3 linked regions of the Nothobranchius furzeri genome follow. The protein of the gene in region 2 interacts with the protein of the main gene of each other region in a pairwise test. Links are inferred from orthologs where the notes say so. Each region holds a gene or a part of one and is shown on either strand. Other genes may lie near its edges.

The links. The genes of interacting proteins can lie anywhere in the genome.
Region 1: the proteins of rabac1 (region 2) and syt16 interact in binary tests that used the Homo sapiens proteins (3 or more experiments, as listed by UniProt). The link is inferred for Nothobranchius furzeri from reciprocal best matches to the Homo sapiens genes RABAC1 and SYT16.
Region 3: the proteins of rabac1 (region 2) and nif3l1 interact in binary tests that used the Homo sapiens proteins (3 or more experiments, as listed by UniProt). The two-hybrid records come from large-scale screens. The link is inferred for Nothobranchius furzeri from reciprocal best matches to the Homo sapiens genes RABAC1 and NIF3L1.

What each region holds. Positions count from the first base shown.
Region 1 is NC_091758.1:9,733,158-9,736,911, forward strand, and holds the start of syt16 (synaptotagmin-16), read right to left. Parts: upstream 2,457-3,754; 5' UTR 2,297-2,456; coding exon 2,284-2,296; intron 252-2,283; exon of another isoform or gene 1-251. UniProt on the Homo sapiens protein: May be involved in the trafficking and exocytosis of secretory vesicles in non-neuronal tissues. Is Ca(2+)-independent.
Region 2 is NC_091745.1:74,795,514-74,799,267, forward strand, and holds the start of rabac1 (prenylated Rab acceptor protein 1), read right to left. Parts: upstream 2,557-3,754; 5' UTR 2,422-2,556; intron 1,431-2,421; 5' UTR 1,417-1,430; coding exon 1,295-1,416; intron 1,218-1,294; coding exon 1,005-1,217; intron 862-1,004; coding exon 764-861; intron 557-763; coding exon 455-556; intron 336-454; coding exon 247-335; 3' UTR 1-246. UniProt on the Homo sapiens protein: General Rab protein regulator required for vesicle formation from the Golgi complex. May control vesicle docking and fusion by mediating the action of Rab GTPases to the SNARE complexes.
Region 3 is NC_091756.1:34,572,026-34,575,779, forward strand, and holds the start of nif3l1 (NIF3-like protein 1), read right to left. Parts: upstream 2,211-3,754; 5' UTR 2,076-2,210; exon of another isoform or gene 2,058-2,075; intron 1,505-2,057; 5' UTR 1,495-1,504; coding exon 921-1,494; intron 826-920; coding exon 669-825; intron 401-668; coding exon 277-400; intron 71-276; coding exon 1-70. UniProt on the Homo sapiens protein: May function as a transcriptional corepressor through its interaction with COPS2, negatively regulating the expression of genes involved in neuronal differentiation.

The DNA of each region.
Region 1 (3,754 bases), on a different chromosome or scaffold from region 2:
TCTCGGTACTGGAGCCGAGGCTCTGGAATGAGCTACCTACGTGTCAGGCCACCACGCTCGGCAATTCTAAGAGCCGTCTGAAAACACACTTTTATTCTTTGGCTTTTACTCAAGAGGAGTCTCGTTAACGGATGGCTTTGCACTTTTTGCTCCCCCACCTAGACTTTACCTGCATGTTTTTGTTGGTTTTTAAATGGTTTTATATGTTTTTATTTCTTCATGTTCATTTCTGTTGTGCGGCGCTTTGTTTGGTCCTTGGGCCATGTGAAGGCGCTATATAAATAAAGTTTAGTTGTAGTGAAGAGCTGCGTTTTGTTGCAGCTGGTGAATTTCACACACATAAAAAATCGTGGAAAGCAACAACAGTGATGTATAAAACACTGTTTTCATGAGTTGTTGTGGAATCTGTGCTCAGCTGTTAGTTCATCAGTCCTGTTGGATATAACTCAGAGGTCGTTCGGGAGGCCTCCGATGATCATTTATTACTTTTACTCAAAAGCAGCTGAACTAAATGGTTTCCATTCCTCCTCTGAACCCTGCTCACTAGAGTCGCGGGGAGCTGCTCTGCCTCCATCAGCCAGCAGGTGGGGGACGTCCAGGACAGGTCTCCAGTCTAATCACACGTCAGGAAAGGTTTCTGTTCTTCTGAATCAGAAACTTCTGCTGTAATTTGTACTTAATGCAACTTTAAACTCCCTCCACCCTTACAGCAAAGCGTGCTAAAAACCGGTAACTGTCCGAGGCTTGGCTTAAGGCTAAAAGGAGGGCAGCACATCGCTAGGCCCCACTGCTCAAACAGACAGGAACAAACATGGATTTCAGGCTGGTTCCAGTTTCCTGAAACAGCAGCATTAAGTGGCTCTCAGAGCGCGCGCCATCCCTGAGAAGGGAGGAGACGGACATGAATTAGACATGGAAGAGGAGCTGAAAGTAGGCCAGAACACTCAGAAACAGCAACAACCCACCAGGCTGAGGCAACAACCAACAAACAAAACAATCAGTGAAAATATTTTAATGAATTTTGTGCCAAGTTTCTTCTTGCGGTTTAGTCACAACACGTCTCAACGATGCCTCCTCTTACTCACAGCTAGCTAGAGCTGTCATGGTTGTGTTGTCCATCTCTCTGCACCCAGATGATAGAGTTGTGAGGGATGCTTTGTTACGTCGTGGTGAGAGTCAAGAAAATGTGGATTTATCACAACGTAGACAAGTAAACCAAAAATCTGCATGTTTTTTCTGACATCATTCAGCTCTACTGTCATCAGAACGACCGTGATAGGGGTTTGTGGCGGTCTGGAGCGTAGGTGTGTGTTTACACACACCAAGAACAACACTTAAGATGCTGATGAGCTTCCCAGGGGTCCACATGATGCTCATGAGGACCACAGATTCATGATTCACAGCAAACACCAGAACCTCATAATAGCAGTTAGCACGGTGGTGGAGAGCTGATGATTTGGGCCTGGTATTGGGTTGGACATGAACTCCTCCAATTACCAAAGTATTCCAGACACACATGTGAGAAGATCCATCCAACAGCTGGACCAAACTGGGTCATAGAGCACAACCACAGCAGCAGAGGGATCTCAGCATGGTTACATGAGTAGAGCCACATGGCAGCATGCGTCATCGTCTGAGTTAGACAGATGATCAAAGGCGGGAGACATTCAGACATCGCTGCTGCTATGGTGGACTCCACCGTTACCTCCTCTAACCCTGCTGCTGTAGCTGTGCCTGAGTGGGTCTGTTTGATTTGAACAGAACTACAGGTGTGTTACCTGTGGAGCTGCTTATTTTGTTTATTACCATCATAAATGAGTTTCTGCACGCTGAGCGAGGCCTGTAAAACTCTGTCAAGCAGAACCCTTCCTGCATCCTAGTCATGATTCTCCTGCAGGGCATTAAACCCTAAACCTGATCCAGCATGATGCACCACTGACTGAGGATCTGCACATGCTCAGGTTCCGCCTGCTGGTTTGGCAAAAGGGGGAAATTTACATCTGCAAAGTGCAAATAAATGATATAAGACTAGAGATGAGGCAACTGCCCTGCTTACAACAGCACAGGTGGTCTTTATGCCACAGACGAGCGCGATCATCCCCGTTGACAACAATAACAATAATAAAATAATAATGATAATAATGCAGCCATCGTCAGAGGAAAGCGATCAGCTGGCCTATGGGTTCCCTCGATCCCAGTCGGGCTGAACGGATTCCAGTTTAGAAATGAAATGAATAAAATCTGCATTAGAAACGGTCAAACATCTATAAAACAGTTACTTACTGTCCGAGGCCATTGCTCTCCGCGTTTATTCACAATTGACGGCGGAACGATGGGGAAGATCGGCGGCAGCATCCCCGCCTCTCTGCAGCCACTAGATCTATAAAACGAGCGCACACCAAGCGGTGGAGCGCCCCGCCCTCTCTCCGAACTGGACCGAACCGTGATTTTATTATTATTCCCAACAACAGCCAAAAACATTTATATGTCACGGTCCAATCATTGTAATTAATAAAACAATAATACGGAACCCAGCATTGCATCATTCACCTGTATCAGGTGCAGGGTTAGGGTTCACACGAATTACTCAGATTAATAGCACCACTCCATCATTCCTGATGGCCACCCATGGCTTCAACTGAGGGTCATTTAATCTTTGGGAGTGATTCGCCTGTAACACAGATTTAATACCATCATTATAACTGCTCCTGTATCATTAACTCTTTAGGCACCTGTTTATATTTTATTTGTGTGTGTGTGTGTGTGTGTGTGTGTGTGTGTGTGTGTGTGTGTGTGTGTGTGTGTGTGTGTGTGTGTGTGTGTGTGTGTGTGTGTGTGTGTGTTTAATTGATTTGACTACGGTAAAGTTTTTTTTTATATATATTTTTTAGAAGCTGGTAGGAATATCTGTTTTATTTGTAAGGACACTTTTAAAATTAATTATTTCAAACTGTATTTACTCCAAATTTTTACATGATAACACACATTAAAAGTGTCTTAGATTTAAGTTACAGATGTCTATCATCTCCTGGCAGAATGAGTGATCAAATCTGCAACTGTGGCTCGTAACAGTCAGAAATGTTGCTTGTCGCAATTTTACACCTTTGGCATCTAAAGAGTTAAGTGATGCAAGTTTACAGTTCTGTTTCACATCTATGTTTTAAGAAAATACTGAAGTTATTTTTCTGAGGTTCATGAACGCACAACGTTTCACACAGAGATAACCTAGCAACGGGCTGTTGCTAACGGTAAAAAAAAAATCTCCACTTACCCTCCCGGTGACAACAGCACTGTCCTTTGCAGAAAGAATCCAGACTGGATACTGACAACAAACCCTGATTGTGTCCATTTGTATCCCTCCAGGCTTTTATATGCTCGTAGCGATGCTCCGGAGTAGGACGAGGGAAAATTAATAAGAAAATTGTAAATGTCAGGGTATCTCAAATCCGGTAGGTCCACTCCGACAGCTTCTGGCATTTTAAAAACTATCCCAGGGGCATGGTAAGGGTCGGAGATAATTAATTTATGACTATATAAAATGGTTTCTTCGGTTTTAAAGTGAGAAGTGAACTCCGACGGAGTAAAATCCAAGCCAATCCCATTCATGTTCATGTTTAAGATCCGTGTTTGTTTACCTTTTTTGCCTGCCAATATGGCGTCTACTCTCTGAGAGTCACGTGACGTCCGGATCTCTATAGTCCCTTTAATTCAGCTTGTTATGTGCCATGAGAGAGATATAAGGACCCACCTTTCA
Region 2 (3,754 bases):
GGCACAAACCAGAGGCATCGCAGGCTTAATATATGCAGATAAAGGCGAATAATGTGCTTCAAGCAATAAGAAATTCATTATTTATGCATTTGTGTAACAACAGTTATTTATCATGCAACATAAGGTGCATTCGTAATACAATGCCATAAGGTAAACATGAGGAAGAAGGATATATGTATAGATATAAAAAAATCTTCAAGGAGATTCTCAAAGGGTCAAAACGAGGACTGATCATGGAGCAGCTCTTTAGACCGGCTCCATGAGGAGCTCATCCAGGTCCGACGCCTCCAACTCTCGGAACGCAGCATGAGAGCCGATCACAAACAGAGTTGCTCCTGACAGGAAACCACACAGAACAGGAAAAATGGATGTAAAAAGAAACGATTTTAGTTCTTAATCAAGATGAAACATCAGAAAAAGATTACGAGGAAAGAACAAATCATGTTCAGCTTACCGAGAACCCAAAACACAGCGGCTCCGGCTCCTGCCAACCAGAAAACGGGCAGAGAAACGGCTCCAGCCAGACTCATCTGGTGTGGGACTGTCAGTTCTCTGCCTGATAAACAAGAAATATGAAGAAAAATATTAAAAATAGGGTTTGTGGTGCTAAATGCAGCGTGGGTTAAATCCAGAACAGGCATGGATGACATATTTAAAAGGTTTCACACAGAATAAAAAAAAATAGACCTTGAATGTTAAAAAAAAAAAAAAACTAAATCTGGTAAATTTGAAAAGATTATGGATTTGTAGGAAATGTACTCACCGAGAACAACCAGTTTGGACTCCAGAGACTTAAGGTGGATGGCGTAGAAGGCACCAGCATACACGGCTAAGGCAATCAGCAGCATGGGCGAGCTGATACTGAGGAGCAGGAAAAATGAACAGGGCTGTCAGGCTGGAGCTATTTAAAGCAGACTGTCGACATTTTTCTAGAAGCCAGAGTCTCACAGATGATCTAATTAACATTTTTTGTTTTAATGAAGCTCTCTTTGATTAGGTCTTACATGCAGTAGAGGATGAGCCCCAGAAATATGAAGGTATAGTTGCTGTTGTAAACTTCCACATTTTTAACCACCCTCTGACACAACTCTCCAAAGTTGCGAGGTTTTGAAAATTTGCGCTGGTCTACAAAGCTGGCCCACGGTCGGATGGACAACCTGCGCCTGTCGAACCACTCCTTAGCCATGCTGGCCGAGATGCCTTTAGGAAGCCAGAGCCTATAAAAATAAACAAAATAGAATATCATCAACACACCAAAGCCAGGGTAAAAATATGAAAGCATGGTGGTTCACACCTTGAGAGGACTCCGATGCCCCCTGTGCCGGTTGGATGGGCCTCATCTGGGATGAACAAATCTCCAGCTTTGCTGTCCATGTCCACCATGACGTTCTCCCCTTTAGGCACTCCAGATAACATTTAGAGACTGTTGACTGAAACAGAATCACATTGAATGTGGACTAAACTTTTACAAAAACAATTAGCCTGGATTTACTCATTTTTATTTGATGCAACGGTGTAGCATCTTATTTAGACTTTGGTTGCGTTTCCACTCATTTTCTGGTAGATGTATTATTATTATTATTTTTTGCCTATGAAGCCCCTTATTTCTAGTCTATAAATCCTTCAGGCATAAAACATTTCTGAAACTGGTGTAGTGTAGTGTAGTGGACATTTAAATCCTATTTTTTAAATTAGAATCGATGACAAAATACCAAAGATTAAACAATTTGAGAAATTAAAAAAAGGTACTTTAGCACACACACACACACACACACACACACACACACACACACACACACACACACACACACACACAAAACGGATTCCAAAAGATATATTGACTGAAAACTTGACATATGGTCGTTTCTATAACTGCACCATTTTCATTGACCTTCAGATCTACTGTAGACACATGTTTTAACCCCAACACTTCTTATTTTATCTTTCATATTCCTCGTGTTCCCAGTAAACCTCCCTGGTTCTTAAGCTGTTTTGAAAGCAATAATCGCAAATGTCAATGGAGCTAACTTTTGATTTTTCGTATTTTAAAACGCCACATTTGACACGTCATAATCTAAAACGGTCTCAAGTGTATAAACAATCACTGTCTAATGATTACATGTCTTTCTAGTTTAATGGCGATCCTTAGTTAGAGAAACAGGAAGAAGTAGAAACAGGGCCCGGCCAGTGCCACATCACTAAATAAACAGGATAACCGAGAAACTCTCGTTACCAAACAACAGTGTCTAGAAGTAGCAATTTCAAATATAAATATTATACTCACGACGAGTCTATTTAAAACCTGAATGTAAATGTAAAATGCTAGCTTATGAGCTAATGTTTACGTCTACTTCCGGATTTTATTTAACGTCAACGTAATTTTCACTTGTTTTTAAAATAAGAATTTAAATTACAACATACCTGCCAAAATGCTAAACCCTTAAATCATTCACCAAAATGTAGGCAGAAGTTTCACCAGACAGCCTGAGCTGTCTTTTGTTGCTGTTCTGGATCTCGGAAGTGATGTGGCTGCTGGAGAAGAAGAAAAAACTTCCTACTTCGCTGACTCTAGGCAGGGCCACCTACTGGCTACATAGAGTACTTCGAATTTTGTGTTACACAACACAGGTGGAACTTTTCATTTGTATTACTTTTTATTTTATTTATTTATTTTTTTGCATTATTTTTACTTCATCCAAAAAACGGAGTTTTTTCTCTTAACAGCCGAAAACACATCTGTTGAAAAAGCCGACCTGAGATCGGCTGCCTGTTTTCTGCGGTGGCTGCTCAAAACCACACAAGCACGAAAAACTGACTGCAGATCAGAAATGGTAAAAACGTGACCTTACGTCATGTAACAAACAAAGAGGCTGTGATTGGTAGATAGACGAGTGTTGTGGTGCTGCCGTCACTGGGCACGCGGCACTGTGGAAGTTGCTAGATCCGCCAGCGAAAGAAAGGAAACAAACATTAGAAGGTGAGGCGCTATTAATTATCTTATCAAATTTAGCTGTTGGAATGTTTTTACGTGTTGTTAAATGTAATCTTCAGACCTTGGGGTTTATGACAGTTCTGTTTTTGTTAGTCATTAATAAAGTAACGTTTCAATGCTAAAACAAAATGTACGCGTTTTTTTTTACAAATGCACTAAAGGGGGACACAGCGCCATAGCAGCATATTAGCCTACGCTGGCTCCGTTAGCTTTAGCTTATTCGGCTCTTTAGCTTACTCAGCTCAACAGCTGTCCTGGCTGGGTGTTTAATGACCGTTTTTTTCTCCACAGAAACCGTGACAGGATACATAAACTCGTATAAAGCGTAAAACCGTAACACAAGAGGAACGAGTCGTTTCAGGAGCCTCCAGCTGCTTTCATACACATTTTGCCTGAAGATAAAAACGACACCGCTGACTGGTTCGTGTGTGTGGAGAGCGTCAAGCTGAAACGGTAAAAGGCAGGAATGTTCAGCTCCACACACACTGAGCTCACGTACATTAACATTTTATATCCTGACTCCCGAGGAAAATACATTTCTATGTCATATTTTTTCAAAATCTCACATATATATTATAACTTAGTCGACTATAAGTATAAATAATGTCAGAAAATATGGTGTAAATAGTTGCATTTTCCCCAAAAAAGCTAATTATATTTTATATTTTTGTTTAATTTCCAATAACAATCAGTATTAATAGATTATTTAAAAAAATGCTCAACAAAATAGGGTAAATAACAGCAAATAAACCAAACTGGAGA
Region 3 (3,754 bases), on a different chromosome or scaffold from region 2:
CGGCTGTAGTCAGGTCTACTGGGTGGTCCAGAACACTGAGTCGGCCTTGACCGTGACCCATAAGAGGAGGCTGCAGGGGAAGCAAGAGGTGGAAAATCACTGGTGTGTGTGTGTGTGTGTGTGTGTGTGTGTGTGTGTGTGTGTGTGTGTGTGTGTGTGTGTGTGTGTGTGTGTGTGTGTGTGTGTGTGTGTGTGTGTGTGTGTGTGTGTGTGTGTGTGTCATCCTCAGGATTCAGTTAAATTCTTTTCTCATAAGTGAACTAAGAGCTGTCCTACCTTCTCCAGCTTCAAAATGCTAAGAGACTGGCTGGGTGTGCTGTGTTTTAACAGAGTCTGGACACTAGAGGTCAGTGCTGAGTCACTGCAGGTCACACTGACATGGACACAGCTGCTGTCTGGTCTATAAGAGAGAAATGAGCCTGTTACACCACAGTGCAGGGAACTGAAAAAGCGCAGTATTGGGATTTATATGATTTTACTTTGGTTTTATGAAGCATTAAATAAACAATTAATAAATTAAAGTGTGAAACTTGACTCATCCTGTCAAACTTTCTGATTCTATGGAGTGAATTTACATGTTGTATTTTCCTAAACTGTCCCCAAAATGCACCCAAATGTAACGTGTTTCTGAGATCATCTCCATGTGCAGCGACATGTTTTCTAACAACCTGCTGCTGGTGAACTGTAGAGTTGTTCCGTCACCACAAGCCTTCAGCTCCTCTACAACAGAATTGAGCTCCTCGGCGTTCCTAACCATGAACTCCAGTTTTTGACAGTGGGAGGCTCCGCCGAGGGCCTGATTCAGCACAGACACCTGACCGCGGCCTGAAAGGATAAAAACAAAACAAGAAAAGACAGTCAACTGATAGCAGTCTTTAAGCTAAAACATGCATTAACAGGTAACTCTTGGATTTCTTTACCAAGACCCCCAACCAGCCAGTCATTCACCCCTCCTTTAGCACTATCCCAAGAAGTGTGAGGGGAAAAGATTGCGATCCCAGCCTCCACAGCACGAATGGCTAACCGCTGCTTCCAGTCTTTCTGAATCAGACGCTTAATGGGCCGAAACAAAGGTGGGTGGTACGAGACGACGAGGTCACAATTCACAGCCTCAGCCTCCTCCATGACCGCTTCAGTCAGGTCATTGGTCAGCAGGATGGTTTTAATCACACGATGTTTGCTTGGCTCAACCAGTAAGCCAACGTTATCCCACGATTCGGCCAGCGACAGAGGAGCCAGCTGCTCCAGAACCTCCAGAACCTCCTTTAACTCCATTGGGCCGGAACACGAAGCAGAACCAGACAGGCAGAGGACGGAAGAGAAATTAGGAAAAGGCTGCAAATAAACAGATTGTCTGCTTGTTAGGAAGTGGTGACTCTTAGTGGGCGGGGGGGCAGAGTAGAGAGAAGAATTTAGGCTTTTAATGTTTAAAAGTTTTTTTCTACTTATGGAGGATAAAACAGTCCAGGAGAGACTTCTGGATCCAGTCCACATCTGAGGAGATCTGTTAAAAAATAAAGAAATAAAAACAACTGATGGGTGACACATTTTCACAATATCTATAAATGTGGCATTGTTAATTACATAATTCAATAATCACATTTATATAGTAAATATTTATTAGACAGATATTTATGGAATAACCTACTAACTGATCAGCCAAGGAAACTTCAGGACTTCAACAGGTCAGAAGTAACGAAAGTTTGTCAATTTTTGCATTTGTTATCAAAAGTAACTAAGTGTAAGTGTTTGAATAAAAACCTACCAGTGACAAATAAATGAATTACAGAAACAGAATACTGCTGCTAACAGGACAAAGCTTTCTTTTTATGTGCTGCCTAAAAGCAGACACTTCCCAGAGAACATTACAGAATTTATTTTAATCTAAACCCACCTTATACACATTTGGACTTTATGTTCACACAAAACATTTTTGGTAATGCTAACCTGATAGCTTTAGCTGCTAACAGCTACGCTAACCAACTAGCATAAAGAGCTACATAGGCACAGCTAAAGTGTACATCAGAGAATAAACATTTGAAGTTGGGGTGTCTTACTTTCTTATTTACTCTTACCAGCCTTTCAGGGAAGAAAACCACGGCTGTTCTATATTCGCTACGTTTCTGTCAGACTGACACACAAATGTACACTTTCTGCAGAACTCACTAAATGTCCCTTCTCAGCTTCCGTTCCGTTAACTGGTCCTGGTCTATAGTAATGTCGATGGTCCTGGTCCTAGCCTAGCCAAAGTGCTTTTTTTCTGCACTGTCAACTCATAAAATAATAGTGTTAGACGTTGTAACGGAAAGAGTGGTAAAACAAATGCTGAATTATATATTTAGTGAGTTTTAAAGTTCATTTACACGTCAGAAAAGGAATTGTTTTATTATTATTTTCAAAATAAACATTTATATCCCAACATTTATTTTGGAGCTAAACACTCAGTTTACAAAAAACAATATTTAGGTTTAGCCCTAAAAAATATTTAGTTGGGATCTCAATATTTATTTTGGAAAATATATATTTGATTTGGAGCTAAATATTTAGTTTGTAAACTAATATTTAGCTCCAAAATAAATATTTACATAGTAAATTAAATATTTAGTTTACAAACTAACCATTTAGGTCAGATCTAAATGGTTAATTTGTAAACTAAATATTTAGTTCAAAATAAAGTATTTATTTTACAAACTAAATATTTAAGTATGAGCAAAATATTTAGTTTTTAAAAATAAATATTTAACTTAGAATTTATTTATTTTTTAGCTTTCTAACAAAATATTTAGTTGGGAACTTTAACATTTATAAATGTATGTATAACGTTGTGAAAATATGAAATAGAAAAATCAACTCCCATTTTTTCTTTTATGATAGACTAAATAACCAAAAAACAAAAAACTATCCACCACAGCCATTAAACTTTTCTCTGTAAATTTGTCACCACTTTCACATAAGGAAACACACTTTATCTCTAATGTTTAATTCTAACCGTTAGTGTGTTTTGATTAAATCATGTTTTAAGAGCTATCTACAAAATGACTACTAATCCACGTTGTTCTTCCGAGTTTGAGAGTACATTATGAAAGAGCTAAGATGGAAAATGCTTCTCAGAGCTGATCTGTGACCTGCAGTGACACTGATGTCTAACCAGTAAGCTTCTACTCTTTGTTTTCCTAAAGTAGACAAAAACACTTTAATTAACTTTATCCTGAATTCCTCAAGCTGAAGTAATTAAATTCTAAAAATAACGAGATTCTGAATTATTCAATCAACTCGTAGTAATAGAAACAGAGTCTAAGGTGATCAACAGCTTTAATAAAGTGTTCTGTATTACACAATGCTCTTTATGTGATGTTATAAAATGGAAGGATCTACTGACCTTCACATGGTGCAGGAGGCCAGCTGTAGTGGGAATGAAACAGGTTTTTTTCTCAGACTAAAGAGACTCCCTCTATGAAGCGTGCATGGGAAAGGAGGAACAGAGACACCCCTTCTTATGTTAATGATTATTTATTTTTACAACCAAACACTGACAAGACACCTAGAATATTTATAAATGAGAACCTTCCTGCACCTGGGACACCAAAGGTTGAGCAGGCCCACTCCATCCCCGATGCCTGTATGTTTATGTGTTTATTTATTTATTTTACATATAAATATCTGCCCCTCAAAAGGCTGGCTGTCTGCAACAAGCACCAAGTGAGAAGGAACTACCCCTCAGAAACGAACTTGGAACTAAACAGGGAAAGACCTG